Linked DNA regions of Rhinolophus ferrumequinum. Each later gene encodes a partner of the first gene's protein in a complex. Links are inferred from orthologs where the notes say so. Each region holds a gene or a part of one and is shown in the gene's direction. Other genes may lie near its edges. The genes, in order: IGF2BP1, ELAVL4, HNRNPU and YBX1.

Region 1 (7,482 bases):
AAATTTTGACTATTTTACAGTTTTTCAAAATTTATAGTCATCTAAAAGAACCACATTAAAACTTCAAGTTGCAGGAAGAAACAAAATATCCCAGGGCAACAACAATGAAAAAAACAAGCAAACAACAAAATAAAAACCAAGCAAACAAAAAACAAATTCCTCTTAAAACTTTGAAGTCAGAACAGTTCTCAGGAAATGATAATTTTTATTTTTGTATATTTTATAGAAACTATAATTTCATTTAAAAATTATGGTTCATTAGAAAAATAGAAAAAATTCAATTTTAATGTATTTCCCTTCTAACTGCTTACCAATTGTTTTGTGTCCTTTCTTTTGTAAAACAGGCTAAACTTTTAAAATAGAAAGTCATTGATAAATGTTAGATTTGAAATGCAATATATATTCTGGGGATTTATCCATAGGAGCTAATCTAAAAGGAAAAAGTTATATGCCCCCCAAATCTATTCAGTTCCACTCAGAAAAGTAAAAAATTTGATGTAACATATATTTTAAAATAACAATGATTAACTTACACCTCCTGAAATGAATGCTACATGTTTGTTAAAAATGATAGTTATGAAAACTTTGAGGCAGCATGGGAAAATGCTTATGGTACAACAGCAAGGAAAAAATTAAGATATAAAAATAAGTAGACAAAATAGAAAATATTACAAATCGACAAATATTGGAAAGAAACATTTAAAAAATAAAAGTGAATTTTTATGACTGGTGGAATTGTTGATTTTTTCCACTTTATATTTCCAATTAAAAATGTTATTTCATTCTCTTAAATGTTTTTGTCTCTCTGCGTGTGTTTGTATATTCACATTGAAGGAAAATGGATCAGAATCCCATCTTTAAAATGGAGTCAAGGTTCAGGGTTTCTGAATTCAGAGGAAAATTCAATTCTGCAACTAGACCAAACAAGTCTCCAGGAAAAATGAAAGAGAACAAGAAGTATAGCATAATAATTAATAATTGATAATAATATTAATTACATAAATTATTATTAAAGAAAACAATGTATCCTGCAGCTGTATTTTTAACTCTTACAAACTAAATTTAACTGATTAATTTTTCCCAAAGAAGCTGTGTAGAAAAAAAAAAATTGAAAACAAATGCAATGTTTATTAGTTATCCGTAATTAAAAAAAAAGGATGATTAATCATGGGGTCCTAAGTCTGCTCATTCCTATCCCTAACCTAGGAATGTGAGTCTTGAGAAAAATAACCCTTCTCTCAGGTTAATTTTAGTGCTGGGCTCACTCAGAAGGGAGAGTTGAAGCACCAATCACCATCACTCAGTCCCCCCAACTCCAGCCTAAAATAGCCAGGTCACTGAGACAAAACTGATTTGGGGGCTGAAAAGGTCTGCATCTCACCCCAGCTGTCTCCTCTCTCTTGTGTTCTTGCAGCCTCTGACTATACACAGAAGCCCTTGGTGGGGGAGGGGGGGTGGATTAGAATTCAGTGAAACAGCTGATTTTTAAAACGCATCAGTTTCAATTTAGCAATGGTTGGTAAAATTTTAATTTTATACATTTACATTTTCTTCTCCACAGTCATTTTTATAAACTAATTCCAGTTCACATTTAGGCTTACATATTTTTAAATGGAAAAAAAATCAACCTAAAAGTGAACTGAATTCAATTATTACTTTAAAAAATTTTGTTTCCCTTTGATTCTAAGATAGGCAAAGGTGGACTGCATTTTAGAGGTCTGGATGTAGATTTTTGTGCGGTGTAACATGTTTTTGTTTTAGGAATGAAGAGATAGAGTAGTGGTTATGTCCCCCAGGGAGAAAACCTGAGAGGTGCTTCTATTAATTCCTTAAGATTTAAATTAAATGAAGGAAATAGCACGTCAAGTTTCTGGGAATGGAACGCCCTGCCTAGTACAATCTTTCTTGTTCCCCAATATAGCAGAAAAGATTGAAGGAGAGTGGGGCTCCTATTTAGGGAAAGGCCAAGGAATACAACAGCCTTTCTGAGACTATCTTTTAGCCCTTTCAAAAGTCCACACACAACACCAAGAAAAGTCCCCAGGCAACAGACCCACACATTCTGGCCAAGATAATTTTTTCCCCTTGACTCTTAATTTTCCTCTGAATTCAATTTGCTCTGCAGTTTGTATTAGCTCGTTTTCATTTACAAAATGTTTATTGAATGCCTACTATGTGGCAGGTACCGATTCCAGCTCGTTGGATTTAAAATTATGTTTATGGTCAAGAGCTCATAGAAACAGGGGAGGGTCGGAGTGGGGGGTGGGATACAGATGTCGCCCACCTTCTTGGATAGACTTTTTCCTCTTAGCAACTAATAGCATGTAGTATTTTAATTTCTGTTGCCCCATGGAAAGAAAAAGATCGCAAACAAAAATGCGACAAACACGTGGCTGGCTAGAACAAAACGCGGATTTGGAGGGTCGGTTTTGAAGGTGGTGGAGACGGAGACACCGAGTCGGAAGCCCTCCCCCGCCCCTACGCCCAAACCCATTTCTTTGCAGCGCGCGGGGAAAACCGGGAGGGGGACAAAGGTGCGGCATGTCGTCTTTTAACTCCCGACTTTTCGAACGGTATAGAATCGTCTGGCAGAAGAGCGGTGCTCCCAAGTCGGAGTCAACTCACTGACTCTGCAAACAAATAAGAAAAAAACCCAAGGCATTCATATCGGTGCAGCCAACACGTGTTGCAGAGTCGGCTCGGGCCGCAGGCGACTGAGACAATGGGGTCGGGGACCGGGAAAGGGAGAGTGACCCCCTTTCTCACCTGCCCTCGCAGCTCGCGTGCCCCCGACAGAAAGCTTTCTCCCTCCCGCAGAACCCGGAGGAAAACCCGAGCTTCCGCCTAGTTCAGGGAGCTTCTGGCAATACTGAGGGTCCACCCCCTCTTTCCCTGGTTCCCTGGCCAAAGGGGCTCCAGGGTCCCCGGGTCGCGCTCTCCGACACCCCCTGGCGCCGTCCCAGCCCCAGGCGCTGGAAACTCGTCGGCCTGGCTGGTCCCCCGGCCCAGGATCCCGGTGGCGCGTGGAACGCAGATCCCGTTCTCTGCCGCGTATCCTGGACTCCGAAACGCGCGGCGAACTGCCCCCTCCCCCACCGCCGAGACGGGGTGCGACCGCCCACGTGTCGCCCCTTGCCCAGTCGGGTTCGTCCCTCGGGCTCTCCGGGCCGGAGGATCCGGAACGAGTTGGTCAAAGGCGAGGGAAGGGACCTGGGCGGATCCGCTTCCCCTCCCCAGGAACAGGCGGGGGGCGGACCACCGCCCCCTCCTCTAAGCTCCCGCCCCTCGCTTCCCTAGCGCCGAGCGGAAACTACCCCCTCCCCCCGCGGGTCTGACCTGGGGACGGGGGCGGGGCTTAGCGCTCGGCCCCCTGCTCTTGGCTCCTCTCCCGCCTTCCCGCCTGGATTCCGATCCTGCGCCCCAAACAAAGTTCCGAGACCCCAACCCAACGCGGGGAAAGCTGCTGTCGCTGTCCTGGGTGGAGCGGGCGGAGGGGACTCCACCTGTCCGTCCCCGCGTCGGGGCGGGAGAAGGGGACCATTCGGATCTCCACCCGGTCACTCCCTCGCTGAGACCTATCCCTTCGGTTCGCCCGGGTCTGCTCACGCTACCACTCCTTGTCCTTCTCTCCACCCTTCCCTCTCGCGGGGTCTTCCTGGGCCGGAGCCACCGGTTCCCCCAGGACCCCAAAACCTTTTCGTTCAGCAGTGGAACCTTGGGTGTTAATTTCTTTCGCCCGTGGGAATCCCGAAACCTGATTTCCTGTGGATCCCTCGTTCCCAACCGCGATCCCCCGTGTTCCCAGCCTCCCGGTCCCGCGCTTTCAGGGACCCTCGGTCCTGGGTTCCCGGAGGCGAGGGAGTCTCCCAGGGCTGGGGCAGGGAAGGCCGAGACCCCCCCCCCCACTTAAAAATCCAGGAAAAGGCGCCTTTCTTTCTAAATCGCTGGTTCGCGCGACCCCCTCCTGAAGACCCCAGAGTCCTCGGCTTCTCTTTGTCTATCTCCGCCGTCCCCCGCCTGTCAGTCGCTAGCAGTTAACCATGGTAGGGTGGGCAAACCCCCCCACCCACCACAGGAATAAAAAAATAACCGTACATTTTATCCATAAAGAGGTGGGAGATTCTGGGCCCGACCACCCTCCCCCAGCCAGGGCTGGGGTATGAGGATGAGTGGGGGCGGGGCGCCTCCCTAGGGGCCAGATTCATGCAAAGGGGGAGGGGGCAAGTGAAGCTTCGGGAACGCAGCCCCCCACCCGCCGCCCAGTTGACTCAGGGGGTGAGTTGAGTGCCCCCCACCTCCGGCGGGAGATTGGTGGGCTGGGCCGGGCTGGAGGGCCTAAGGTTCCGGAGGCGTCGGGGGTCTTCCCCTGCAGGGTGGGTGGGGGCTTTCACCACGTGGCTTCGCCTTTTTTTTTTTTTCCGCTCCATTTTTTTTTTTTTTCAAGTCGATTTTATTTAGAGGCGGCGCCAGGGCGGCCGCGGAGAAACGTGACACACCAGCCCGCTCAGAGGGGTTTCGGACAGAAGGAAAGAAGCAGTGCCGCGTCGTCCACCTCCCAGCGCGCCGCGGGCACTTCTCCCGGGCCTCTCGAACTCCTCCGCGACCTCTGCGCGCCCTCTGGCCGCCCTTCGCGCCCCCGGCTCCGGACAACTTCAGGGGTGGGGTGCAAAGAAAGTTTGCGGCTGTCGCCGCCGGCCGCCCGCCCGCCTCTTGGCCTAGGAGGCTCTCCGCCCGCGCCCGCCCCCGCCCTCTCGCTCGGCCTTGCTAGGGACCGCGTCCCGCCCCGAACCCGCCACCATGAACAAGCTTTACATCGGCAACCTAAACGAGAGCGTGACCCCCGCCGACTTGGAGAAAGTGTTTGCGGAGCACAAGATCTCCTACAGCGGCCAGTTCTTGGTCAAATCCGGCTATGCTTTCGTGGACTGCCCCGACGAGCACTGGGCGATGAAGGCCATCGAAACTTTCTCGGGTAAGAGTGCTCCCACCTCCCCGAGAAACCACGACGAAATCCCCGAACAACGGAGACCTGCGCTTCTCTTTTCCGTGCCCGCCAACTGTGCTCTCCCACCGGCCTGCGGGGCTTGGCTTCAGGACCCACCCATCACCCACCTCCTTCGACGCCCCCACCCTACCCCACTCTCCATCCCTACCCCCACTCTTTCATGCCTACCCCCACTCCCTCACCCCTACCGCGCCGTGGAAATATTCGGCGTTTCCTCACCCCTTCCTCCCAGTCTCTGGAGGCTTTAGTAGGGTCGTCCCGTGACCCCTCCCGAAGGGGCGGGAGCCCCAGTGGCAGTAATGGGGGGGCGCCACTGAGGCGACCCCCGTCTGGGCGTTATTTTCACGTCGGCCCCTCGCCATCCGCGCCTGGACGCCTTCTCCACCCCATGAGCACCCCTGGCTACCCTTCCTTCGCCTTAGGCCTTTCCAGGCAGGGAAGGGGGCCCCACTTCATTTGCTATCTCCCGGGTTTCCGTGGGGACTGCAGCCTTCGGGCCCGACTTGAGAGAGGGGGTCCCGCTTCCCGCCCAGGCCCTGTAGGTTGAGCCATTTTGATTTGAAAGTGGGGCGTGAGCGGGTGGCGCGGTGGCAGCGGCGGCGGGTCGCCATGCTGCTTCCCGAGACGCGAGGCTGGGCGGGGAGGCGCGCGCCGCGGCCGCCAGGGACCCTCCCAGCGGTCCGGGCTTCGCTCCCCAGGGCTTCACCTCCCGACCGGCCCGACAGGTGACCGCCAGGTCGCCCGAAGCCCTCTTCTTTGGCTTGACGGAAAAATAGTTTCGTTTAGTACCCCCACACCCAACACACTTTGGGAGAAACAGGGGCCCTTTCTCGGCCCTTCTCCCCACATCTGGGAGCCGTGTAGGCAACCCGCCCACACAGACGTCCTCACACTCCTCCCAAATCCAGCTCCCAGAGCGATCCATGACCCAATTAGCCCCAGTGAGGCAACAGAACAAAATAAAAATTAAGAAAACACAATAATGAGTTTACAGACTCCACCATTCTCAGAGCGACCTTTTCGCATCCGGCTGCGAAATCCACTGCCTGGATTCCTAGGAAGGTCTCAAATCCCAGTAACTCCTGAATTACCCTAATGTCTTTCTCCTTCCTTTTCCCGCTCCCCACCCCTGTTCAAGCTCTTATATTGCCCCCCCCCTTTTTAATCTTTAGGGAAAGTAGAACTGCAAGGAAAACGCCTAGAGATTGAACACTCCGTCCCCAAAAAACAAAGGTAGGAAAGAGCTCTTCTCTGGGGAGGGGGACAGCCTGGGGGCCCTAAGAGGCTGTGTCCTGGGGTCCATAGTGTCTCCAGTGGAAGAAACCCATTTCTGGCCTTCCCACCCCCAACTCCGGATGTTGGGGGCAGGGAGGGAAGATTGGCTAAGATCTTGTAATGGGTGGTTTACAGCTTGTAAAAAAAAATAAGCTGGGCCTGGGGTGGGCTAAGAAATCTTACTTGGAAAAGTAAACTGGGAAAAAATAGGGGAGAAGCCTTGTGGAGTTTGATTGAAGTGTGAGGGGCCATTTTTGTGGGGAAGCTAAAAGTCTCCAAGAGTTTAGACTCATGGACATTTTTGCAACTTCCTAGCAGGCCTCATTTTCTGATTTTCTGTTTCTTCCCACCCTTCCCTTATCATAATTTTTAAGTGGATGTGGGGGGTCCCCTTTGACTCCCTTGGGGAGGTAGAATGAGTTCCTGCTCCCAAAAGAATTCTCTTATGCTTGTGTTTTATTTACATAATATTTCTGCAACAGGCAAGGACACTAGTATTTTCAGACTCCTACCCCCAGCCCCTCATATCCCACATCCTCCCCTCCCAACTGGATTTTGCAAAGAATATGCTTTGGCTGTACTATCCTTTCTGAGCCCCCACCCCCTTTCAGTCCATTGTTACAAGGGGACCATCTGGGGTGAGAGCTTTGTGTTCAGGCTGTGAGCTGGGGCTCTTTGGAGGGTCTAGAACTTCCTAGATGAGTGGGTGTGTGTGTGTGTGTGTGTGTGTGTGTGTGTGTGTGTGTGTGTGTGTGTGTGTGTGTTTGTGTGTCTCTCTCTGTCTCCGTGTGCCAGTACTATCCTCACTTCAGCAAAGTGGGGTACCTCTGTCATATCCCCAAATCTAATTCATGGTGGATTTCAAATCTTTTCATTGAACTCTGGCTGGGAAGTATAAGGGCAGAGTATTTCTGCTTTCTGAAATCTGACTTTAAATGTGTTGACAGTGCACTTTCCTCTCACGTTGCAGCCCCCAGTAAATCTTTGATTCTCTCACTCCCCTACTCCCCTCATTTCAACTGGAAACTTGCTGCATTTCAGAACAGTCCTTGGCTTTTCTGAGTGGGAAGGTGGAGGTGGGTGGCTGTGCCTTTTGGAGGCAGTTAAGAGGATCTAGAAAGTTTAACAGGAGGAAAAATCTAAATCTATTTGTTCTGTGGTTTAGCTTGAGATGTTTAACTTGGAACTATTGTATCTATAGA
Region 2 (7,061 bases), on another chromosome or scaffold:
ATTCTTCCACAAAATGATGGGGAAAGATCTCACTTTTAGATAAGGAAGATACCTTTCTAGAAAAATGCTTAGATATAACAATTGTCTCTACCATGAAGTTGTATAAAATTGTACATGTCAAGTGCCTGGTGCAGTGTTTGGTATACAGCAGACTTCTGGTAAAAGATAGCAGCTTTTATTTGCACTTTGTAAGTCCTATTATTTCTTTATTTCTTCTTGTCCTCCCTCTCCTCGCCTCCCCTTTACATTTCCCTCCTTCTACAAATAACCTTCCTTGCTTTTTACAATACATCTATTTCTTTATTCGTAGTTACAGATTATAAATGAGTCCAGAATTTCTTTTAATTCTATATTAAATTATTTTCAAAATTATTAAGCTGGTTTCACACTATATCCTTTAATGGTATGAGTACCTACTCCACACTTCATCTGCTCAGTGACCTTTGATTGGTAAAGATTTATTTATACTAGGGTCCCTTGTTTGTTTCTTTTCTTTTAAAAAAATTTTAGTAAAGCTCATCTGAAGTGAAAGACCCCCCAAATCCCTTCATGCAAGGATCTTCAGAAATCTCTGTGTGTCACACAGTGACCCTGCTGAGTTTTCTTGGGCTTTGAGGAAGGCTATGTCAGGGGAAAGTCCAGATAGGGACTCCACCGAAATTAGATTTCTTGAGTAAGTGTGCATTTACCTTTTTCAGAATTTACTAACAATAAGTCAGTTTTTCCATCCTTTAAATTTTCTTTCCCAGGAAGACACCCTATTGCTTTACAACTGTGGTCAAAGGTATGTTGATTCTGGAAAGAAACCTGCTTTCAGCTGCTGTTCTAGCATAAGGCGTAGTGGTATGGAAAAAAAAAAACGCAAGAAGATCAAGTGTGAACGACTCCTAGGTTAGCTAACCTGCACAGGTGAATTCTTGGCAATTTAAGTGGACTAGACAGCCATTTGTCTACATTTCCCCCTCACAGTAGCATTCTTCTAGCTCTTTCCCACAATCCACAGTAGGCAAAACTACTTAAGAAAGAGGAAGGCATCACACTGTCAGGTCATCTATCTCTAAGAGTGCTTCAGCAGTGAATCCCTAATCCTTCGAGTAGACTCCATGTCAGTCTGGTGCATCTTTCTTGTCTCTGGGGTATGTTTGCATTTTCCTATAAAATTTGATTTAATGTTTCTACAGGAAAACAAAAAAGACAAAACCAGCACCACAATTCACCAAAGGGAAATTATGATTTAAATTTTATCCAAAGTTCTTAAATATGGTATACCACTCTCTGGGCATGATGATTGTATTTTCCCTAAAGGAAGAAATGCCAGCAGTTTAGGTTTATCTTTCAAAGGAAGAGGAGAGGATAAAAAGAAATTGAACCACAGGAAAATGTCAGGTCATAGTATTTAAATTGTGTGCCATAATCATATTAGGGCAGAGCACATGGAATTCCTGATCTGTGCATGGCACTGAAGAAGGACCAGCAATTATCTGTGTGTGTGTGTGTGTGTGTGTGTGTGTGTGTGTGTGTGTGTTTGCTCTACCTTCCCACCCCATTTTGCTAATTCAATTGAGGAGCAAGAAGAGGTAATCCAGATACCCAGAACAGGAGGAGAAGGTCTGCAGCTGTGCTTAGAGGAACTGGTGTGAAGAGAGAGGCTCAGTCTGACTTGGAGTTTTGTGCTATTGCATGTGAATGCTCTGGAACTGCCCTAATCGACTGAAAATGAGCCGGCTACAGTCATATGGAACAGGTCTGTTTAGCCACATCTCTGGGTAGCATGGCAGATGGTAGACCGTCAATGGGTGGTATTGATTGGCTGGATTTGCCTTAGGGTAGCAAGACTATGGGTCCTTAAAAACCCGCTTCATCTTATTTTCCTTTATGCAGCTACGTTCAGTTGTGGTTTTCTTTTTTTACTCCCCACCCCCAGCCCCCAGTATCTCCTTTTCTCCCTTTTCAAATCAAAAACCTTCCTTGGTAATCAAAACAGAGAGGTTACCTTGAGATAAACACTCTTTAAATTATCACCAAGGCAAGAAAACTTGAGAATATTTTATTTACTAGGCTGATTACATTTTAATGTTTGAAGAAAGTGACATTTTTTAATTAGTGTTTAAGACATATGGTGAGTGTACAAATTAGCTTATTGCATACAACCAGAATTTGATGTGAGCAACTCCTCCTTCTCACTCCCCAGTTAAAAACTGTCACTTGAAACTTAATATATGCGAGGAGGTTAAATGGTATTAAGTGATTCAGCCTTGACTTAAAGATGAAGGAGACAGTCACTGTTGTGTGTGGCTAAATGTTGCTTGGATAGGCTGGAAAAATACTAATCTCAACATCCGTGTTTGCAAGAGGATGTGGAAATTCCAGGGCTTTAATTTTGTTCAGCCAAGAAAGCAAAATCCCAGGTATCTGTATGCATTGGTTTCTCTTTTAGATACGAGGAAACGTAGAATGGTGCTTGCATGCTCTGTGAGTAATAAAATTCTCCTTAAAAATCAGGCCTTGTAACAAAATAAGTGATGAGATTTATTTTTGTTCAGGTGGTTCTTAATCTTTTAGCATCCCCGTCCATCACTTAGGGCTTTCAGCTTGGGACCTTCTATTTATTCCTGGCAGAAGAGCAGATTAATTGGAATAGAATAATACAAAGGAGACACCAAGTTAGCTATACATCCAAAATAGTATACGAAAGAAATGTTCCACTTCAAAGCAGATCAGCACTAGGGGGAAAAGAACAGCACTGGGGAGAAATATGTGATTAGTTTACTCTTCTGGTTGTTTATAACTATTTGTATAATTGTGTTTTTAAAAGAGATGCTTAAGATTTGTTTTTGTATTTGTTTTTCAGTGTCTTTACTCTTAAGCGTTTGGTTATTTCCTATCATGAAAGACCATATCAAATAAACTTAATGTTTTGCTCAGAAGAAAAGTTACACTCTTGCCTCCATTTTGTATGTGCTTCGTCCATATGCATATTTTTGAATTGAGTTTTTATCACATGAGTCAATATTTCTCTGTTTTTGCTAAAGGAAAATATTCCTGTGGAGTTTTTGGTATCCCCCCTTACTCTGTGTTGGTTGGATTTTTCCTTGTTCATCCTTTGCTGAATGAAACAAAGCTTGTTTGTGTTTCATTCTGCACAGTTCTTATTATTATTATAGAATTGATGATGGTATTTTGTTTTGTTGTTTTGTTGCTATAAGTCAGGAGAAGAAATTTTATTTATTTATTTTGACAACATACAGAGAAAGAGACATGACAAGATGCCTGTTAGGATGCTGGCGTTTCTCATGTCACATCCTATACCCAAAAGCTATTCCAAGGGGGAACAAAAATCAGTCTTTTAAGATGGTTCATTTGAATCTGTGCACTCTACCCACCTGGTGGTTATATAGTGAACTGTTACTTTAAAGAGTAGTTTAAACACCAGCCATGTTTGGGGCAGGCTGCTCTTGCAAAGAGAGCAGTACATATAACAGGAGTCTACTGTGTGTGAGATAAGGGGAAAATTCAGCTCACTGACTAGAGGTTTTAATGTGCAAACTCTAGGGAAATAATATATTGACTGTTCCGTGGCGCGCAAGAAAATTGAAGAACCCTTTGCAGACGGAGTGCTTTGCAAAGGATTCTATCTGTTTCTCTTAAAACAAAATCTGTGGCAAGATGTTTGAAATCAGCAGGACGCTTAATGCTGCTTTGTTAAATAATGAGGTAATATTTTGTCACTTTTTTCTGGGCAGCATCTGTTTTTGTTTTTTTTTTCCTTTCTTTTCCTTCGCTTCATTTCTCCCCCCGTGTTTATGAAGGATTCTCTTTTTTTCTATTCCTTTTTTTTTTTTTTCCCTCATGGAAGTCAAGGAAATACAATTCACGCTTCCATTTCTGTTCCTTCCTTTCGGTGCTTTTGGAAAATTTGGTTGTCTTTTTTATTTGCAGTTTCAGCCGGCTGCTGTTTCCTAGCCCATTGTGCCCTGTAAGGCTTCTCCACTGCGTGGAGTAGGTAGTTATTAACGCTGAATTGGCTTCTGGTACAGTCCATCTGGACTCTGTGTGGGAAAGCTGGCTGCCGGCGACTGATGCTGAGATATCTGCAACCTTTGGGATGTGTGCATGGTGGCGAGGGGCTGACTGATATGAGATTACTTCTTTTAAGGGAAATTGTTATTAATGAGTCAAGAAACTGCTCATTTATGGTAAGAGGGATACAGCGGCACTGGCAGCCCCATAGCTCTGGGATATCATTTTTAGGTTGCCTTCGCTGCTTGAGTGAGACAAGTTTCTTTCTGTGGTGGTAGAGGATTGTGGCGGAAAAAAAAAAATCATGCATGACTGGGAGACTCGCCTGCCTGATTTTTGAGATAATATATTGAGAATCTGTTGCTTTACAAATGTCACACCACTGATGTAGCGGTCAGCCCCTCACTCTGAAAGATGAATGGTACTATTGGAAATGCAATAATAAGGTTGACTTTTCCCAACAATAGGATTCTGCCTTTGTCTTTAGAGAAAAGGCCTCTGAGGACATTTGTGCATTTGTCTGAGGATTCTGTTGAAAGACTTTAGAGTGGAGGTTTTGGGAGAAGTGATCAATATACAAAGTACATGGATTTTTTTAGCCTAGCAAAACCAGCTAATTATTTATACTGTAATATGCAGTTCCTATTTTGGAAAAGTGGCCAGAGTATCTTTTGGTATACCTGTTAATTTATGTCTTACCGAGTGGGCTGAGGTTAGTATGGATAGGAGAAAAGAATTTAAAAAAATTGTGACTTTTATAACCTCCAGAGAAATACAAATTAAATACAAAGTGAAAATCCAAGCCAGCTGTTTTTATTTGTGTTTGTCAGCATTGTGTTCATGTTTACTTTTCACAATATTTTGATGTTGGTGAAATCACATTCAGAGTTTCTGTTGTTGATTTTGAGCACCTGTACCTGCCCTGTGTGCGTATGTTAAGCTCTTGAGCACACTTAACCTGGGAATTCATCCTTAGTACACAGTTCAATAGATATTATAGTACTGTTGTGACTCACAGGACTCTATACATTTACTAAAGAAATTATTTTAAAAGTTTACTTAATTTAGTATTGTTCCACTTAAAGGAATTTATATAGTCTTAATATTTCCACTTTTATATTTCCTGTGTTTTTGTTTCTAATATCTGAGTTTATTTGTATTCAAATCTAATAGTTCATATAGTGTACCTCACACATATTGTTTTGTGGTGTATCTGTATTTTAAAAAGTGTGTGTACATATGTGTATGTATGTGTCCATGCTTGTAGAGCATAGTTTTAATTTTTAGAAATGCAAAAGTTATTTTCTTTTCTAATAATTTTTCACAGACCCATTTATTCTTGGACTTTGAAGCCCAGAGTGTAGCATGGTTTTTGGCCTGTATTTCTACTTTGCTTAGTCCCATCTCACTGTCAACTCCAGCCAAAGATTAAAGATTATGTTGAATTATGTCTTTAGTAATATTTGTTACCTCTGTGTATTTATTGAGGAACAAATTGATTAAGTTATGAATTATATAAATAGTGATAAGTTAGCTTTTTGGATAGAAGTAAAGCACAAACGCCTCAGGTAAGCCACTTAAAAAACTGAAACCAGAACAAAAAACTGTATAATCAAAGACTTGGTAGAGTAGAGGTTATGAAATGTATAGCATACACAGACTGTATACATCACCACACACTTGCTAAATGTCTCCATGCAAGTCTTTTAGGAGGCCAAAGAAGAAAGACATCGTTTGAAGGACAGAAGCAAAATCACGTGTTCAGTTAAGCAAGATGAGCACTCTGCACTGGTTATGAAATGAGGCTGTGTCAAAAGCATGTTATACCTTTCTCTAGAGCAGTAGGGAAAGCAAAGAGAGAATGTGTTTTGGTGGATTTTTAAAAATTCAGATCATGCCACTATCCAAGTTGAGAAATAAGTTCATTTAAATAAATCATTCATCATTCTCTGTTTTGAAAAGCTTAGACAGACGACAGAAAGGTAGAGGCTGACAGCTGCCCTCCTCCTCCCCCCACCAGCTTTTTTCTTTTTTGTTTATTAGGAAATAGTTTTCTGAAGCAAACTTGTATGAACCTAGTTCCCGGAGCAAGCACAATCTCAAACTTGCTTTCTTTTGAAACACTGTCCATGTTAGCTGCAGGACGAGCATAACTTACTAAAAATCAGCAATATTGGGAAATAATAAAGTTAAAATGTGGATGTATTAGCACATTAAAGTGCTTTTGTTGTATCTTTAAGCCTAGAGGCAGATCATTAAATATGCATTTCGCTAGAAAGCAACCATCGAGAAAGATGAGGTGGTTGAAAATATTCTAGTTGGGAAAAGCCCTCTGTCAGAGGGCTGGGGTGGTGCAGCCCTCTGGACAGGGAAAACGGAGGACACTCCCACTGTTAAGATTTGCAAGCCACCAGTGACCTGCAGTTGTTATAGTACTTTTGAGCTGGGAGGAGGGAAGAGGTAAAAATACAAGTATGGCTGTTGTTGCTTCAGCCTGGCCTTAATTACCAGACACAAGAAGCAGTTCAGAAATCTGGTCTCTGTTGTTGTAGAGGTCACCAAATCATTAACATCGTCAATCTGGCAGTAGCTAATTTAAATAGCACCTGATGTTGCAACGCCTCCCTTCGTTTCCCCAGCCAATCAGATCTTGGCTTTGGCTGACAGATGGTCCCATAAATGGATGTAAAAAGGGGAAGCTTCGAGCCAATTTCAGCAAGGCTCTGTTCAGTTGTTCTTATCTACATCCTAGAATCGGGGGTTTCAGCTCAGTGCTCCTTTTCTTTCTTTTTTTTTTTCTCTCTCCCCCTCATCCCCCCAAAATAGTTGATTTACTTTACAACCATCCACACTGTGTTTTGTGGATCTTTAAAAATATATAATAGTACTCATTTAAAAATATATATTCCGAAACCTTGCAAATTTTAAGAGAAGAGTCGAAGCTCTGCGAGACCCAATATTTGCCAATAAGAATGGTTATGGTAGGTATGACTAGATTTATAATCTGTTGTTTGTGTTGCTGGAGGGAAGAAAAGCATCTA
Region 3 (7,822 bases), on another chromosome or scaffold:
GAATCAAATGCATCATCACAGTCTCTACTTAATTTTTGGAGAGCTCTCTCTTAAAATAAATTATTCAGTGTGCATCAGGGTTGTGGTACAGTTCTCACGTTTTTAGAGGGTATATTTCGTTACCGAGCTTCCATCTCGTTCCCCACACACTGCTGGGCTCTCTGTGACTATTGATGTAAGACACTGCACCGGGTGCTGGAAAAGTCATGTCCATCTTGCTCCCTGAGCTCAAGGAACAGACCAGCTCCAAGGGTGCACATAGAAGGTGAGAGCTTATGAGGTAATAATCACTCTAGTCTTTCATCTCGTTCTTGGCTGTGTAATTCAGGATGGTCTGAATATTTTCTTCATCCTTTTCTATCAGGTACTGTGATACCGGCCAGGCACGAGTAATGTGTGTGATAATGTACTTAATAATAATAAACTCCTTAGCACTCCACTTACCTTTGTGTAAGATAAGTTTTGGTAAATGTTATCAGTCTTTACCTGGTAAATATTTTAGTTTAGTAAATATTTACTGAATATTTAGTAAATATTCAGAAAAGCCCTGACATATTACTTTAACCACGATTATAGTTTTCCTGCAACTTTCTAATGAGCGTGTTTTATTCCACAGAAGTTATGTGAAGACAGAGATTCATGACATCACAGACAAGATGATTCAAATAGGAAGCATTTACTTTGAAACTTTTAGCCTGTCGTGGTACTCAAGTCTCATGTAAATGGGAATATTTTGTACCATTTTAAATTCAAAAACTATAGTACAATGGTTCAACGTTCATGTCTACTACTTAATTTTAAAATGTTTTGAGACTCTAATGCAAAGTTTTAAACATAACAAGTAAAACCTGAATGTAAATAACAATGATTTCAAAGTTTAACAGTGCTCCCCCATTTCCAGCCTGGAGTCAGCAAAGAAGAAACTCATCGAAGGTTCTCTCTGGAGGGACTCTACAAATCTAGTCTGCTCTGCTTCGTACATACACAAGGACACTAATTTCCAGAGAGATCACGCAATTTGCCAAAGGTCACACAGCTGGTTACAGTGACAGTGCTGAGCTGAGAAGTCTGCACTCTCCTGTGTGGACAGACTTCATTTCACTTTTTTCTAGACTGACATCTTACAATGAACAATTCATGATAATTTACAAAATATGTATAGTCATAATTCCCTAAATAAGATATTAACAATCCAATCACAGATTTTCTTAAGTTCATTAAATTGCTTGGTGTATCTAATGAAGACTAGTATTTTTTGAGCTCTTACTGTGTGCCCAGCACTGTACCCTGAGTTTATGTTCATCACCTGGCTGAATTTTCCCAGCAACCTCATGAGGCAGGTATATATGAGTAAACTCAGGCATAGAGAGATACATAGCTTGTGCAAGATCACATACTAGCTACTAGATGGGACCAGCTCCTAGGTGCTCTGGATGGCACTGCAATCCAGGTCTGTCTGTTTCTAAGTTTGCACTTTTAACGAGAACTTGGTACATCCTCCCTTTCAACTGGGCTTTCCTATTTCTCTATTTGAAAATGTACTTTTAACACATTATAATTTGGAGGTACCTATACTTTCTTACATCTTTGTAAGAAGATTGGAAATTTATCTCACCGTATTTCTTGCTTCGTTCATTAACTTAAATTGAGCTTCATTGTGTTAGACCAAAAAGAAAAAAAAAATAAGTTAAATGGAATAGCATCTTGAGTCCACTGAATTTAGCACTCATATCAGTTTATGTCACTTCACTATGAATCAGCCTTTAATGTCTTTCCTCTCTTGGAGGCAAAGCTAAAGTCCTTACAAAACCACCTGCAAGGTTGCTTGCTATCTCTACCTCCTCTCTTCTCTCTTAACTCTCTGATCTCACTTCCTATCTTTCCTCTCAGGCCTCTGTATTTACTGTTCCCTCCACCTCTTCTAGATGTTTGCTCAAATGTTACCATATTTCTTAGGCTTCCTTGACCACCTTATTTATAGCTGAAAAACTCACCCCCCACCTCGGTACACCTCGTCCCTCTCCTGTTTTTTATTTCCCTGTAGTAATTGTTACCATTCCTATTTTATATTTGTTGACTACTCTCCCTAAGAGAGTGAAGGCATAATTATGTAGTTCACCGCTGTAGTTCTAGGATACCAGTGCCTAGACCTCTATAGGTCTTAGAGAAGATGATCAAAAATGTATTTGCTGAGTGAACTGTAGCACGTATGTACACACCTTTGCTTCAGCCTCAAAGTGTAAACTATGTGTTCTGAGTACCCTAACTTTGTAATGCTCTCTCATAGATCTAGTACCCATGGGTAATTGTCTAATCCCTTTTTGCTACTGAGAATTAATGTGTCCCCTCTTCCACTCTATATTCTTGGTAGTCTCTAGGATTTCAAAAAGGGGGAATTTTAAGTTCCTTATAGGTCCCTCAGCAATTTAGAGGAAGTGATCTATACTTTGACTGGTCTCTATAGAACAGGACAATCATGATAGCATTAAACTCTAAGTAGAAAAAACAGGGGCTGCCCCTTAGTTCAGTTGGTTAGAGTGCAGAGCTCCTAACAACAAAGCTGCTGGTTCGATCCACATGTGCCACTGTGAGCTGTGCCCTTCACAACTAGATTGAAACAACTACTTGACTTGGAGCTGATGGGTCTGGGGGTGGGAAACACACTTAAAATAAATAAAAGTTAAAAAAAAGAGAGAGAGAGAAGCAAAAACAATTAGTAAAATTATCATTATATGTACTTTCAAATTGTAAAGTAGATTCTACCCCTTTGTAGAAAGGACAATGTAAGGTGATGGCTCGACAGTTTTACAAAAACTGTTTTTCTTTCCAATGTTGTTTAAGAAGGTCCAGTTGTAAGGAAGGAGCACTGGGGTGAGAGGGAGAGCCTCTGCAACCTGGGCTGTAAACTGAGCCCACTGAAGATGTTCTCCAGGCTACATCGAGCTCAAAAAGTCTGCAAAGCTCTTGGAGTTAAAGCCATGGAACTATCTCCTGTCCATCTACAGTTATATTTCATGTTTATTATTAACTGATTTAACCTACCAACAATGATTATTATAAAGATATTTAGATATGTGAACTTTATTTTCATAGTTTAAAAATGTAAATATCTAAGGACACTTACAAACTTAAAGGACCGTCATGCTAACTATATTTAACTCTGATTCATTAAGAGACTAATTATTCAGTTTGTGAACATGTAAGCCTCCTGTGGCTCTCTTCCCGTTTTTGAACACGGGCAAAGAATTTGAAAAGTTAAAATTCCAGCTTGTGACTTGTTTACAAGCTCCAAGGACATTGTAACCAAAGGCTAACAGGAGTTTTTGGCACTATTTGGAAGTTCCTATTTTAGGTGCTATCCCTTCTACCTCCAGTAAGCTGAATTAAGAATTACCAGTACTGTACATGGTCCATTAATTTCAACTCAAATCACTTTACAAATGTTAATATTTCATCTTTATATACTACTGCCTGGAAAAATAACATGTTTGTTAAAGGCTATCGAAAAGAAACTTAAAAAAAACAATAAAATTAATCTAAAACATACTACCTATGGGAAAGTTTACATGTATATTTTTCCAAATTTCAAATTAATATTGGGGCCGCATTATTGTGCCAGCTAAAGCATCAAATAGTGGGTGTAACAGACCTCCTTAGTCAGAGATAGTGGAACACTGGCTGGTCCCTGTGCAGATTCTCTGAGGTTTAAGATGTTTACCTCCACCACAAATCTAAATTCTGGCCCCCCTATCTAAAACCTCAAGAACATAACACATCTTTTATTTAGTAAAGAAAAAATTACTTCTGAAAGACACCAAAATAACAGATTTTGAGGGTGACAAGTCTCTTTTTCTTTTTACAAAATCACAGCCCTTTATTTTTCACACGTTTTTATTAGTTTCAGCAGGATTTGGTCAAGAGTATTTCTACAGAAGTATGAATAGAATCAAAGTGTAGGATTTAGCTGGGACTTTACACCTGGACGACCAGGTCCTAAGTGGGACAGAATGTTTTACGTTTTTGGTTTTTTTTGGTAGGTAGGTAGAGAACACCCAGAAATGCAATTCTGAGGCTTCATTTCTTTGGCTATTAATACTACGAGAACAGCTGCCAAGACAAGGCCCCTCAAGTACGCTTTGCGGTATGGAGCAGGGATCACGCTCTTAAGGCAAGCCTCCATCTCCCAAGCCGTGCAGTAGGGGTTGTGGACGAGACAAAAGAAAGGCTTTGCCCTCGCCCCTCCCGAATTTAAAATCCAATTCACAGGCAGGACTTAGAAAAATTAAACGAAATATTACGCGGAAGAAAAACCCCTGCGTGTAGTAATTGCCAATTTGTGTCGTACAAATCAAAACTGAAAAATTGAAACCAATAGCTGGATAAGGAAAATCTAAGATGGAAGAAATGGTGGAGGATTCGAATTGAAACCGCCAGGTTGAGGACTGAAAGCATTTGGATAAAAGCAGCCTCAGGGCTGGAAAGGCAAAGAGCAAAACGAGTACTGCCACCAAAGAACTAGAAAGGCCAATAGTTGTTGCAGTGGGTCGGTTTAACTGAAAGGCGGTTTCCTTTCCCTCCATTTGCTCAGTCCCAATTGGAAGCGCACTGCGCGGCCCGGGCCGCGCTCTCTGCCCAGAGTTCGGCGTGGGGGCGGGGAGGTAAGTACGGTAATGGGCGGGCCCCGGCGCGGGCGCGCTCTGGCTTCCCTCCTGCGCAGCACTCCCGTCAGCGCAGGGGGCGGGGCGGCTATAATACGTGCGCGGCGCCGCCCCTGCGAGAGGACGTTGCGTGCTCGCTCACGCCAGGCGAGTCTCCGCGTCTCCCTCGCGAACTCGGTGAAAGGAATTGGCGCCGTTCGACACCAGGCGGGTCCGCTCTGCAGCACGAACCCACCTCCAGCCGCAGCCGCCGCCCGGGCCGAGGAGCAGCCGCAGCAGCCGCCACCAGTGGCCGAGTGAGCGGAGCCGAGTTCGAGCCAGCGCCTAGCGGTGAATCGGGGCCCTCACCATGAGTTCCTCGCCTGTTAATGTAAAAAAGCTGAAGGTGTCGGAGCTGAAAGAGGAGCTCAAGAAGCGGCGCCTTTCCGACAAGGGCCTCAAGGCCGAGCTCATGGAGCGACTCCAGGCCGCGCTGGACGACGAGGAGGCCGGGGGCCGCCCCGCCATGGAGCCCGGGAACGGCAGCCTAGACCTGGGCGGGGATTCCGCCGGACGCTCGGGAGCAGGCCTCGAGCAGGAGGCCGCGACTGGCGGCGACGAAGAGGAGGAGGAGGAGGAAGAGGAGGAGGAAGGGATCGCCGCCCTGGATGGCAACCAGATGGAGCTAGGGGAGGAGAATGGGGCCGCGGGGGCGGCCGACTCGGGCCCGATGGAGGAGGAGGAGGCCGCCTCGGAGGACGAGAACGGCGACGACCAGGGTTTCCAGGAAGGGGAGGATGAGCTCGGAGACGAGGAGGAAGGCGCGGGCGACGAGAACGGGCACGGGGAGCAGCAGTCTCAACCGCCGGCGACGCCGCAGCAACAGCCCCAACAGCAGCGCGGGGCCGCCAAGGAGGCCGCGGGGAAGAGCAGCGGCCCCACCTCGCTGTTCGCCGTGACGGTGGCGCCGCCCGGGGCCAGGCAGGGCCAGCAGCAGGCGGGAGGTAAGAAAGCGGAAGGCGGCCGAGGCGGCGGCCGCCCCGGGGCTCCGGCAGCGGGTGAGGGCTGCGTGGTAACGTTGCGCGCGGCAGGAGGCCCGCGCGGGTGTGGACCTTGCTTTAGGCCTGCCGGGGCCCCGTGGGGGGAGGGAGCCCCGGGCGGGGGCCGCGGCGCGGGTGGCGGTGGAGGAGGGGCGCGGGGAATCCCGGATTAGCCGTGAGGCCTCGGGCTCGGTGTGTGTGACGGTGGTGGCAGCGCCTCCATTATGTGGCTCGAGAGCCAGGGGAGCTGCAGCTGCCGCTGGAGGGGGAGGAGCCGCGGGCGGCGGGGGGAGCCCCGTCGGCCCACGGTGGCGCCGCCGCGCAGCGTGCGCGCGGTGCGGGCACATGTCTCGGGGGGAGGGGAGAGGCCCAAGGGCCCGGGGCGGGCGCGCTTTGGCGGCTCTGGGCCGCGGTATTGTGCAAGGAGCGCAGGGGCTCGCGTGACGTCACTTCCGACGGGAGGGGCCGGGTGGGGAGAGCGGGGCGGAAGATCTGTACAATGCGGCCGCGGGGAGCGCGGGCCCGGGTGGGGTGGGGGAGGGGAGGGGAGGGCGCGCGGGCTCGGCTCTGCCCCTCCCGCCTTCCTGAACTCTCTTCGGGATGCACGTGGGCTCGGCCTGTGCGGCGCTATTTTTCATTAGGTTTCTCGAATTTTCCACTAGACTGGCAAAATTTGTGGTGTTTATACTGCGTCACTAATTTCAATCCTATTCCAAGCTGATCGTTTGAATTCTCATTTGAGTCCGTTGTTTGAAAACGCTTCCAGAAAGGAACAAGGAAATGTCGAGCTTTTTTGCGTCTCAAAACAAAAGGGTTTTTTTCTGTTGTGTTTGCGGCTTGGCCTTCTAAGTAGGGGTGTTGTGTGTTATAGGAGACGGCAAAACAGAGCAGAAAGGCGGAGATAAAAAGAGAGGTGTTAAACGACCTCGGGAAGATCATGGCCGTGGATATTTTGAGTACATTGAAGAAAACAAGTATAGCAGGTAGAGGACGCTCACCTAGTTTTACTTGTCATTCATTCTTTACTCTTTGGTGGGAAAAGCTGTATCAGGAGACAATATTGTCTTTCAGAGCCAAATCTCCTCAGCCACCTGTTGAAGAAGAAGATGAACACTTCGATGACACAGTGGTTTGTCTTGATACTTGTAAGTGAAGCTGCTTCTTCCCTTTCCTCCCTCAATTGTCAGATGCTGTAATTTTGGGGTTCCACATGTTAGAAAACGGAATGTAACATTGAACTTTAATGCAGAAAGCTTAGGAGAAACAGGTTTTTAAAGGCAGGAAGATGATGACATTCCGATACCTTAATACTTAGTATAGCAGCAGTTGTATTGTATTGATAATTTTACGGGTTCTAGCAATTTTGTAGTATTTTTTTTATTACTTGAACTTTCTCCTTTGTAGGAATGTAAAATTAATGCCAATTTTGATTAGTTAGCTAATGGAAACTTGTAAGACTACTTATAACTTGTGCTTATGGGCTGCTTCTATAAAGTAATTTCATTTTTTTGTGTGGAATTATATTAAGTGAGCTATTTGGACTAAATATTTATTAATGACTTCTCCCATTAGCACACAAGTATATTCCCTATACTAAAAGATTGTAATATTATTTTCTCAATAACTGCTCTTTTGTTCTCAATTCCAGTTCAGTAGCTGCTGCTTTAACATAAGTTGATTTCTTCCAAAGACCTGGGGCAGCAGCAGTGGGCTATCACTGGGCCACTAGCTTTCTTCAGCAGCGAATGGTATCAATGGCAGCGCTGTAAATACTGCTCCTTTACCCAGTTGGGTTGCAATTGAGTATGAGGAAGTATTGCAAACCTCTAAATGGGCCGTGGCTGTCAGATTTGGAATTCTTTTTTATCACAAAGAAATTTTGTTGGTTTAGTATATGATCAGAATGTATAATTCTTTCAGTGATTAAGCAGAACAAAAGGTAGAAATAATTGTTCGAAAAATAAGGTGTTAACCTGCCCTGTAGATCCTAGGGAGTTGAAGCTTAGAGTTTTCATGTTTTCAATACAAATTGTATTTATTCAGATATGTAAGCATGTAAGTGTAAAATTTGATGTCTTACTGAGTACCCTTTACACCTAGTAAGGTAGTGGAGTAGTCTTTATAAAAAAAACTGCACATGGAAAA
Region 4 (6,910 bases), on another chromosome or scaffold:
AGTTCCCTAGTGTTCCTTTCATGAGACAATTTCTATGTCCTCCCATTTCTCCTTTCTCCTGGCTGATGGACACTTGACTCATAACTACTAGCAGCAGGCTACTGCAGGCAGCAGAGATAGCAGAGAGCTGAATTCTATGAAAATAGAACCTGGCTTAAAAGTGTCGTTTCAGTGTATTGGGAGACAAGGAAGACGGTGAGCTGTACAAGAGCCTTATAGTATAGATATTTGCAACTCTGTAGCTAAGTAAATATGGTTCAGAGGGGACGCACTGAGAACTGATCAAGGAACCAAACAGGATGGAATTAAAGATAGGAAGGAGGATGAGCAGCTGGGATTTGAGTTGACCTTCTTGTGATGGGCCGTTCGGTTGAATTCAGTTACACTTGGCACCCTTCATTCTATGCCAGTCTCTGTCCTGGACACTGGAACTGCAAAGATAAGTCAGATGTGGCCCATGCTTGTGACAGGAGATAGGCACAGTTTCAATACAACGTGATGAGTATTAGAATGTGAGCCCTAATGAGGACAGGGATTTTGGGCAGGTTTGTTTTTCATTTTTCGTTTGTGGTTTTTTTTTTGTTTTTTTTTTTTTTTTTACTGTGTTCTCAGCACCTAGAAGAGGTAAGCACCTAGTACCTAGTAACTGCTTAATAACATTTGTTGTGTGAATGGTAATGGTATGTACAAGATGCTATGGGAGCAGAGTGGCGAGACCAGGACTAAGAGAAGAGGTAACATTTGAGGTAAATATTGCCAGATTGGCTGGAATTAGCCAGGAGATAAGGGAGGGGGGACTTTCCAGGAAGAGGGAACTGTGTTCCTGGGCCAGTCTGTCAGAGATGGGGACAAAGGTAAAAGTGATTTTGCAAAGGAGATTCTTGAAATGAACCCCCGTGCCTTTCACATCACTTTTAAAGATAGGCACTGGAGTTGTCTGAACTGTGGTCACCATGCTGGGCAGTGTGCACTCAGGGTAGCAGGGGGACTAGCAGAACTGTGGAGCAGAGAGCGCCCACCTTGGAACAGGAGATGCATTTTGACATAAACCGTTTATCCTGCAGTGCTTCAGTACCATCTCTGTAGTGGTAGAGAGGTGGCTACAAGGAAAGTAGTAGGAAAGAGCTCATCTTTATGTCCACTTAGCAGGAGACAGCTTAGTGAAGTAATTGGATGAGTAACTAATGATACTTTTAAGTAACATTATAAAGACAAATGTTACAGAATTTATATTTCTGCGTGAGAAGCCATCTCTTCAAAGTAGTTATTAATACATAGGGAAGGTTGCTCACTTATTCTCAGGTGCTGCGGTCATTGTCTTTCTAACTCCACTTTGGGAAAAAGCTTGCAAACCTATAGGGGCACACTGTCCTCAGTGTTGGCAGAACTGCCTTTTGCAGTTTCTTCTTAGCAGTCAAAAGTCATCTGGAGCTGGCACAGATGAATAGCAGCTCTAGATTCCACCTAATTCTCTCCATACACATTGTTGCTGCAAGCCTTTTTCACCTGGATTACTGGCACAGTTGCGCAGATGACCTCTCTGCTGCCTGTACCTTCTCCAATCCCTTTTCTACACCATCTCATTCATTTAACAAATTTATTAAGATACTGTGTGTCAGGTATTATGCTAGGTGCTCCAGGAATTCACAGTCTGGCTGGGAAGATTTAATTAATGCAATTCAGTGTTAGGATAGGAGAGTCTTGTCACCTAATAACATCTGAGGCAAGACCTAAAGGATAGAGAGTTAAGCCTTAAGGCAAAGGAGAAAGGAAAGAGGAAGTGTTACCAGTAGAGGGAATAGTATGTGATAGCCCAACAGCTAAAATCACCTGGAAGGTTGGGCAAAGAAGTGAAAGACAAGTGGGGAGTAAGTTTAGAGAAGTCATACGGAGTCCTGTAAACCACATTAAGGCGTTTGGACAATCCTAAGGGTAGTGGTAGTCACTGAAAGATTTTAGGTAAGACAGTGTCATGATCAGATGTTTTCAAAAGAACACTCTGGATGTTGTGGTGGAGAATATTAGAATAAGAAAGCGGTAGAGAAACCAACTAGGAGTGCTCTAAGCCAGGCCTCAGCAAACTACAGTTGGCAGGCCCTCTCACTGTTTTTCAATGGCATATAGCTAAGAATAAGAATGGTTTTTAAATGTTTAAACAGTTGAAACAGTCTAAAGAATATTTTATGACATGTAAAAATTATATGAATTTCAAATTTTAGTGTCCATAAAGTTTGGAACAGGGGAACCTGTTTACTGATTGTGGCTGCTTACAGGCTCTGAGGTTGATTAGTTGAGACAGAATCGTCTGGCCTGCAAAGCTTAAAGTACATATTATTTGGTCCTTACAGAAAGTTTGCCTGCTTCTGCTCTAAGTAATAGTTGATAATGGCCTACAGTAGTGTAGGGCAGTAGGAATGACGGGATTAGAGAGTTTTAAGGACTGATTCACTGAATGCCTTTTGGAAGTGGAATGACAGGCCTAGATGATGGGCGGGGGGGGGGGGGGGGGGGGGGGGGGGGGGGGGGGGGGGCGGGGGGTTAAGGACTGTTGCACTAGCCTGTTTTCCCTACTACTTCCATTTTTGCCCCCCTACAACCCATTCTCCACTTAGCAGCCATTAAAAAAATGATGACACTCCCTACTTACAACTCTAAATTACCCTTATCACTATTGCCCTTAGGATAATTTCAATAAAATCCTAATTTGACCCAGCCTACCTCTATAACACAATGTCTTCATTCTAGTCTTATTGGACTACTTTACTTGCATTTCCCCAGACCCAATCTCTTCTTGCCTCTCGGCCTTGCATAAACTTCCACGTGCCTGGAGTCAGCACTCCGCCTTCTTCTACCTTTACTCCCAAATTGCTTTGTGCTTTGGCAACGCTGTGGGTTGCGAGTTTAAATTTCTGTTTTCATCCTAGACTGATTTAAGGCAGAATCTGATGTACTAGTCCATCCCCAGCAGATAGTAGATGCTTACTAAACAACGAATGAAGGACTTCAGCTACAGCATGTGGCAGCCTCAAGTATAGATCGGTTGTGAAACATGGATAGTAATCCTTATTTCATGTGACTGTTGTAAGAATAAAATGCAAGAAAAATGCCTAGCTTGCTCAATCAACGTGATTTGAGATTAAATCTGATTTGTGGCCAATAGAAAAAGACCTGAATATTTAACAAGACAATCCTTACATGCTTGGTAATATGGATGGGAAGACAGGTCCCCATGGAGTACGCCCCCGCCCTCCACCCTAAAAATGCCGAGCAGGGCAGCCTGAGAAGCCTGCGTGGTCCCTCGAGGGTGACTGCTCCGCCGAAAACGGACACTCTTTGAATGCATGCGTTTAAGTCTGGTCCAGAAACACTCGGCTGTGCCACGAGTAGCACGGCCATTGTAGAATGCAGGCTCTATCCACAGTAACTGAGGTCACAAGGACCATATTTGGAGCAGGAAGGGAGGGAGGCCGCCTTTCCACATGGAGCTAAGGTGTCGACGGGGCCCCTTTCAAGCCCCCGGTTCCGGCCGGGTAATCCTGGCTCAAGCGTTTGGCCGTGCCTTTCCTACCACCAGGATACAATCCTGGATGTATGGCCCGCCTGCCCAGGCTGCAGCCTAGTGAAAGTCACGTTCTCTCTGCCCGTCCTCGGTACTCTATGGTTCTCGTGGTGACTCTACTCTAATTCTAGTTCCGGTCTCTATGGCGGCGGCGGCAGAGGCAGGAACGGTTGTAGGTCGGCCAAATTAGCCGCCTAAGAGCCAATGAAAGTGCAGGAGTGATAAAGTATTAGCCAATAGAAGTCAGGAATTGGGGTCAGGTGGCAAGATTGACAGCACTCCTGGCCAGTGAACGATGCTTAGGGCGGGTCGATCTCAAGGCTTATCCCGCCCGTCCCGCCATTCTCGCTAGTTCGATCGGTAGCGGGAGCGGAGAGCGGACCCCAGAGAGCCCTGAGCAGCCCCACCGCCGCCGCCGGCCTAGTTACCATCACACCCCGGGAGGAGCCGCAGCTGCCGCAGCCGGCCCCAGTCACCATCACCGCAACCATGAGCAGCGAGGCCGAGACCCAGCAGCCGCCCGCCGCCCCCCCCGCCGCCCCCGCCCTCAGCGCTGCCGACACCAAGCCCGGCACCACGGGCAGCGGCGCAGGGAGCGGCGGCCCGGGCGGCCTTACATCGGCGGCGCCCGCCGGCGGGGACAAGAAGGTCATCGGTAAGGGCCGGAAAGGGGCGGGGGTTGGGCCGTAGGAAAGCCTGGCGGTGGAACCGTTACCCGAAGCGGGGCGAGCCGGCGGGCGCGCGGCCGGCGGGGACCGACTCGGCAGCGCGGCTGCCCCTCCCCCAGGCCCGCGCCTTCGCGGACGCCGGCTCGCGTGCCCGGCAGGCGCGCACGCGCCAGCTCCCGCGCCCCTGTAGACCCCGCGCAGCCGCGCGCCCCTCCCCCCGTGCAGCCGCGCGTAGTTGACCGCGTGTGCAGCAGGGTCTTTCCCCTCCCCGCTGGCCGCGTGCGCCGGGGCCCGCACGCCGTTGTTTCGTCCCCCCCACCCTTTCCCTTCCGCGTGTACCCTGAGGGCGCGGCGAGTCGCCTACGCAGGCCGGAGTGGGCTGGGCTGCTTCCCCTTCCCTCACGTGCTCTCCGCCCGGCAGCCGCGCCCGCCGCCGGCTGTCTACGCGCGCACCCAGCTTGGGCCTGCGACCCTGGCCCTGGTGCCTTGAGCTCACCCACGTGGACCGCGGAGGCGCGGTGGGGGCCAGAGCGTGGCCGGGCGAGCTGGCTCTGAAGAGAAAGGCTGTCAGGTGGCCGCGGGGAAACGCTCGAGGGACCGGATGCTGAAGCGTGGCGGTTTTAAAAAAGGATGTCTGGTAATCGTGAGTTTTTTTTTTTCTCCTTCCAGCAACGAAGGTTTTGGGAACAGTAAAATGGTTCAATGTAAGAAACGGATATGGTTTCATCAACAGGTGAGCTGACCGTCCTACCTCTTGCACGTTCTGCTCGCAGCTGCAGGCTGTGCGGATTTGGGATTGTTGAAGCATGCGTAGGTTGCTCCCTCTGGTGTGGTAGTGGGTTTTTGTTTTCCTGGATGACTGAAGAAATTCGTGCATCTAGAGATTATCTTTGTTTTGCATCTAAATATTAATGTGAAGCTAACTTAAAAGGCTTGTGATGGTACAAAGCAATGTAAAAGGCGGGCGGATTAAGCGAGCCGTCTCCTAACGGGGCAGACTGAGGAAACTAAGATCTAGTGTGATGCCGTTAGGCTCGGTGCCCACCACGTTTTTATCCTTGTCATTTTACACGTTGTTGAAATTGGTATTTAAAATGTGACCCACTGATGGCATATAGATCCGTGATGACATTGTTCTTCGTATTGGAAGGCAAAGTGACAGACTGCGTTTTTAGGCGTAACGCGTGGAGTTGTTTGTAATAGTGGTGGTAAGGTGCAGTGTATGCACAGGACTCGCCGTGGTCTCCCTGTGAGGCGGGCATCATTTTCAAGATGGCTGCCAAGGCTAGTGCGGTGGCATGGGTGTAGAGGCACTGTGCGTGCTGATGGTGATACGGGCCTTACAGGTGTGACACGGGCATCTCAGCGCTCTCTTACATGCTTGCTTTAGAAGGTATTAAACAACTAGAGGTTTAAAAGAACACTTACCAAGTAAGAAGTAATACCGAATGTGAAATGGACACTACTGCAGGGAAACTAAATGGGCAAGCTCAAGCTTAAAGAGAGACAGACTTGTTTGAAAACCCGTTTATTGTATGGGGCGGGGGCAAAAGAGATTGGAAGCATCTGATGGTCTGTTTTTACAGTATTTGCAGTTGGGGGGGGACATTTTGTTTCTTGCAAAATCTTCAGGAATTTTCCATCTGTTCTTACACTGTCTGCCTTCCTGACAGGCCAAAGCTACATTTTCCATCAGTTTTGTGATGATGGGTTACTACTAGTGAGGAAGGGAATGCTTTGGTGCTTGTATTTGAGCGCTTTTTAGTTGATTGATCTCTGAATTTGTTAGCATTTAAGTTAGTATTTCCATCTTACTGGCTTAACCCTTAAAATAGTGGGTTTTGAATTGAAGTGTGCTTAACTTTGGAAGGGTGTTAAAATGCAAATTCTTCAGCTCTTCCTTCCCGGTTTGGATTCATTGGGGTGATCTGGGGTACATTTTTAACAAGAATTTCAGGTGGTCGTGGCTTGTGGGTCATACCTTGAAAAACATTGCTTTTAACCTTGACACAATGTAATCATAGGATATCTTGGGTAGGAAGGAATGTAATTTGCAGTCTTTTCAGTGGTTAGAAGGTAGTCTGTGTGTGCTTTAAAAATTGTAGCATGTGCCTTCTCTCTTGCTGTATTTTGTTAAATGGACATAGATTGTGATATTTTTGAAGCGGACAATTGATAACCCAATATGAAAGAGTAGTTCTTTACATACTCTAAATTTTTATGAGATGTCATTACTTGAATATCTCTGTTCTGATTTGCAATCAACTCAACTGGTCATCTTCCAGGACAAGTTAAATGTAAATTGGCTTTTTATGATCCTTTGTTTGGACTGTCCAGGCCTCAACTATTTTGTCAAATTAACTGGTTCAAACGTGCTTTATGTTTCTAAAGAGGTCATTCCAATGATTCTGAGACTTTGAGAAAGACACTAAAATCTGACTGCAGTTACGTCCAGGAGAGGTTTGCCTTAAATGTCTTAAAGAACTATACTTCTGGGAGTTAGCAGTTCAGGGTTCACTATATAGCCAAGGCTGGAGACACCTGGGGGCGGGGTTGACACACACGTGCTGTTTATCTATAAAGGAGTAGATGCAGTGTTTGGGATTATTGCCATGACTTTAATTTTATCTCTGGGGTTCTATGATTATATGTTCTAGGTTCTTAAGCTTTTTATAATTAAAAT

What was found.
Region 2: IGF2BP1 (region 1) and ELAVL4 share a complex: the UniProt entries of both Homo sapiens proteins name them as parts of the TAU mRNP complex. The link is inferred for Rhinolophus ferrumequinum from reciprocal best matches to the Homo sapiens genes IGF2BP1 and ELAVL4.
Region 3: IGF2BP1 (region 1) and HNRNPU share a complex: the UniProt entries of both Homo sapiens proteins name them as parts of the coding region determinant (CRD)-mediated complex. The link is inferred for Rhinolophus ferrumequinum from reciprocal best matches to the Homo sapiens genes IGF2BP1 and HNRNPU.
Region 4: IGF2BP1 (region 1) and YBX1 share a complex: the UniProt entries of both Homo sapiens proteins name them as parts of the coding region determinant (CRD)-mediated complex. The link is inferred for Rhinolophus ferrumequinum from reciprocal best matches to the Homo sapiens genes IGF2BP1 and YBX1.

The regions. Positions count from the first base shown.
Region 1 is NC_046304.1:34,183,722-34,191,203, reverse strand, and holds the start of IGF2BP1 (insulin-like growth factor 2 mRNA-binding protein 1), read left to right. Parts: upstream 1-4,481; 5' UTR 4,482-4,797; coding exon 4,798-4,972; intron 4,973-6,177; coding exon 6,178-6,238; intron 6,239-7,482. UniProt on the Homo sapiens protein: RNA-binding factor that recruits target transcripts to cytoplasmic protein-RNA complexes (mRNPs). This transcript 'caging' into mRNPs allows mRNA transport and transient storage.
Region 2 is NC_046292.1:35,738,551-35,745,611, forward strand, and holds the start of ELAVL4 (ELAV-like protein 4), read left to right. Parts: upstream 1-4,050; 5' UTR 4,051-4,079; coding exon 4,080-4,196; intron 4,197-6,707; exon of another isoform or gene 6,708-6,992; coding exon of another isoform or gene 6,993-7,001; intron 7,002-7,061. UniProt on the Homo sapiens protein: RNA-binding protein that is involved in the post-transcriptional regulation of mRNAs. Plays a role in the regulation of mRNA stability, alternative splicing and translation.
Region 3 is NC_046310.1:16,462,171-16,469,992, forward strand, and holds the start of HNRNPU (heterogeneous nuclear ribonucleoprotein U), read left to right. Parts: upstream 1-4,813; 5' UTR 4,814-5,007; coding exon 5,008-5,641; intron 5,642-6,548; coding exon 6,549-6,660; intron 6,661-6,748; coding exon 6,749-6,822; intron 6,823-7,822. UniProt on the Homo sapiens protein: DNA- and RNA-binding protein involved in several cellular processes such as nuclear chromatin organization, telomere-length regulation, transcription, mRNA alternative splicing and stability, Xist-mediated transcriptional silencing and mitotic cell progression.
Region 4 is NC_046292.1:30,054,137-30,061,046, forward strand, and holds the start of YBX1 (Y-box-binding protein 1), read left to right. Parts: upstream 1-3,905; 5' UTR 3,906-4,048; coding exon 4,049-4,214; intron 4,215-4,896; coding exon 4,897-4,960; intron 4,961-6,910. UniProt on the Homo sapiens protein: DNA- and RNA-binding protein involved in various processes, such as translational repression, RNA stabilization, mRNA splicing, DNA repair and transcription regulation.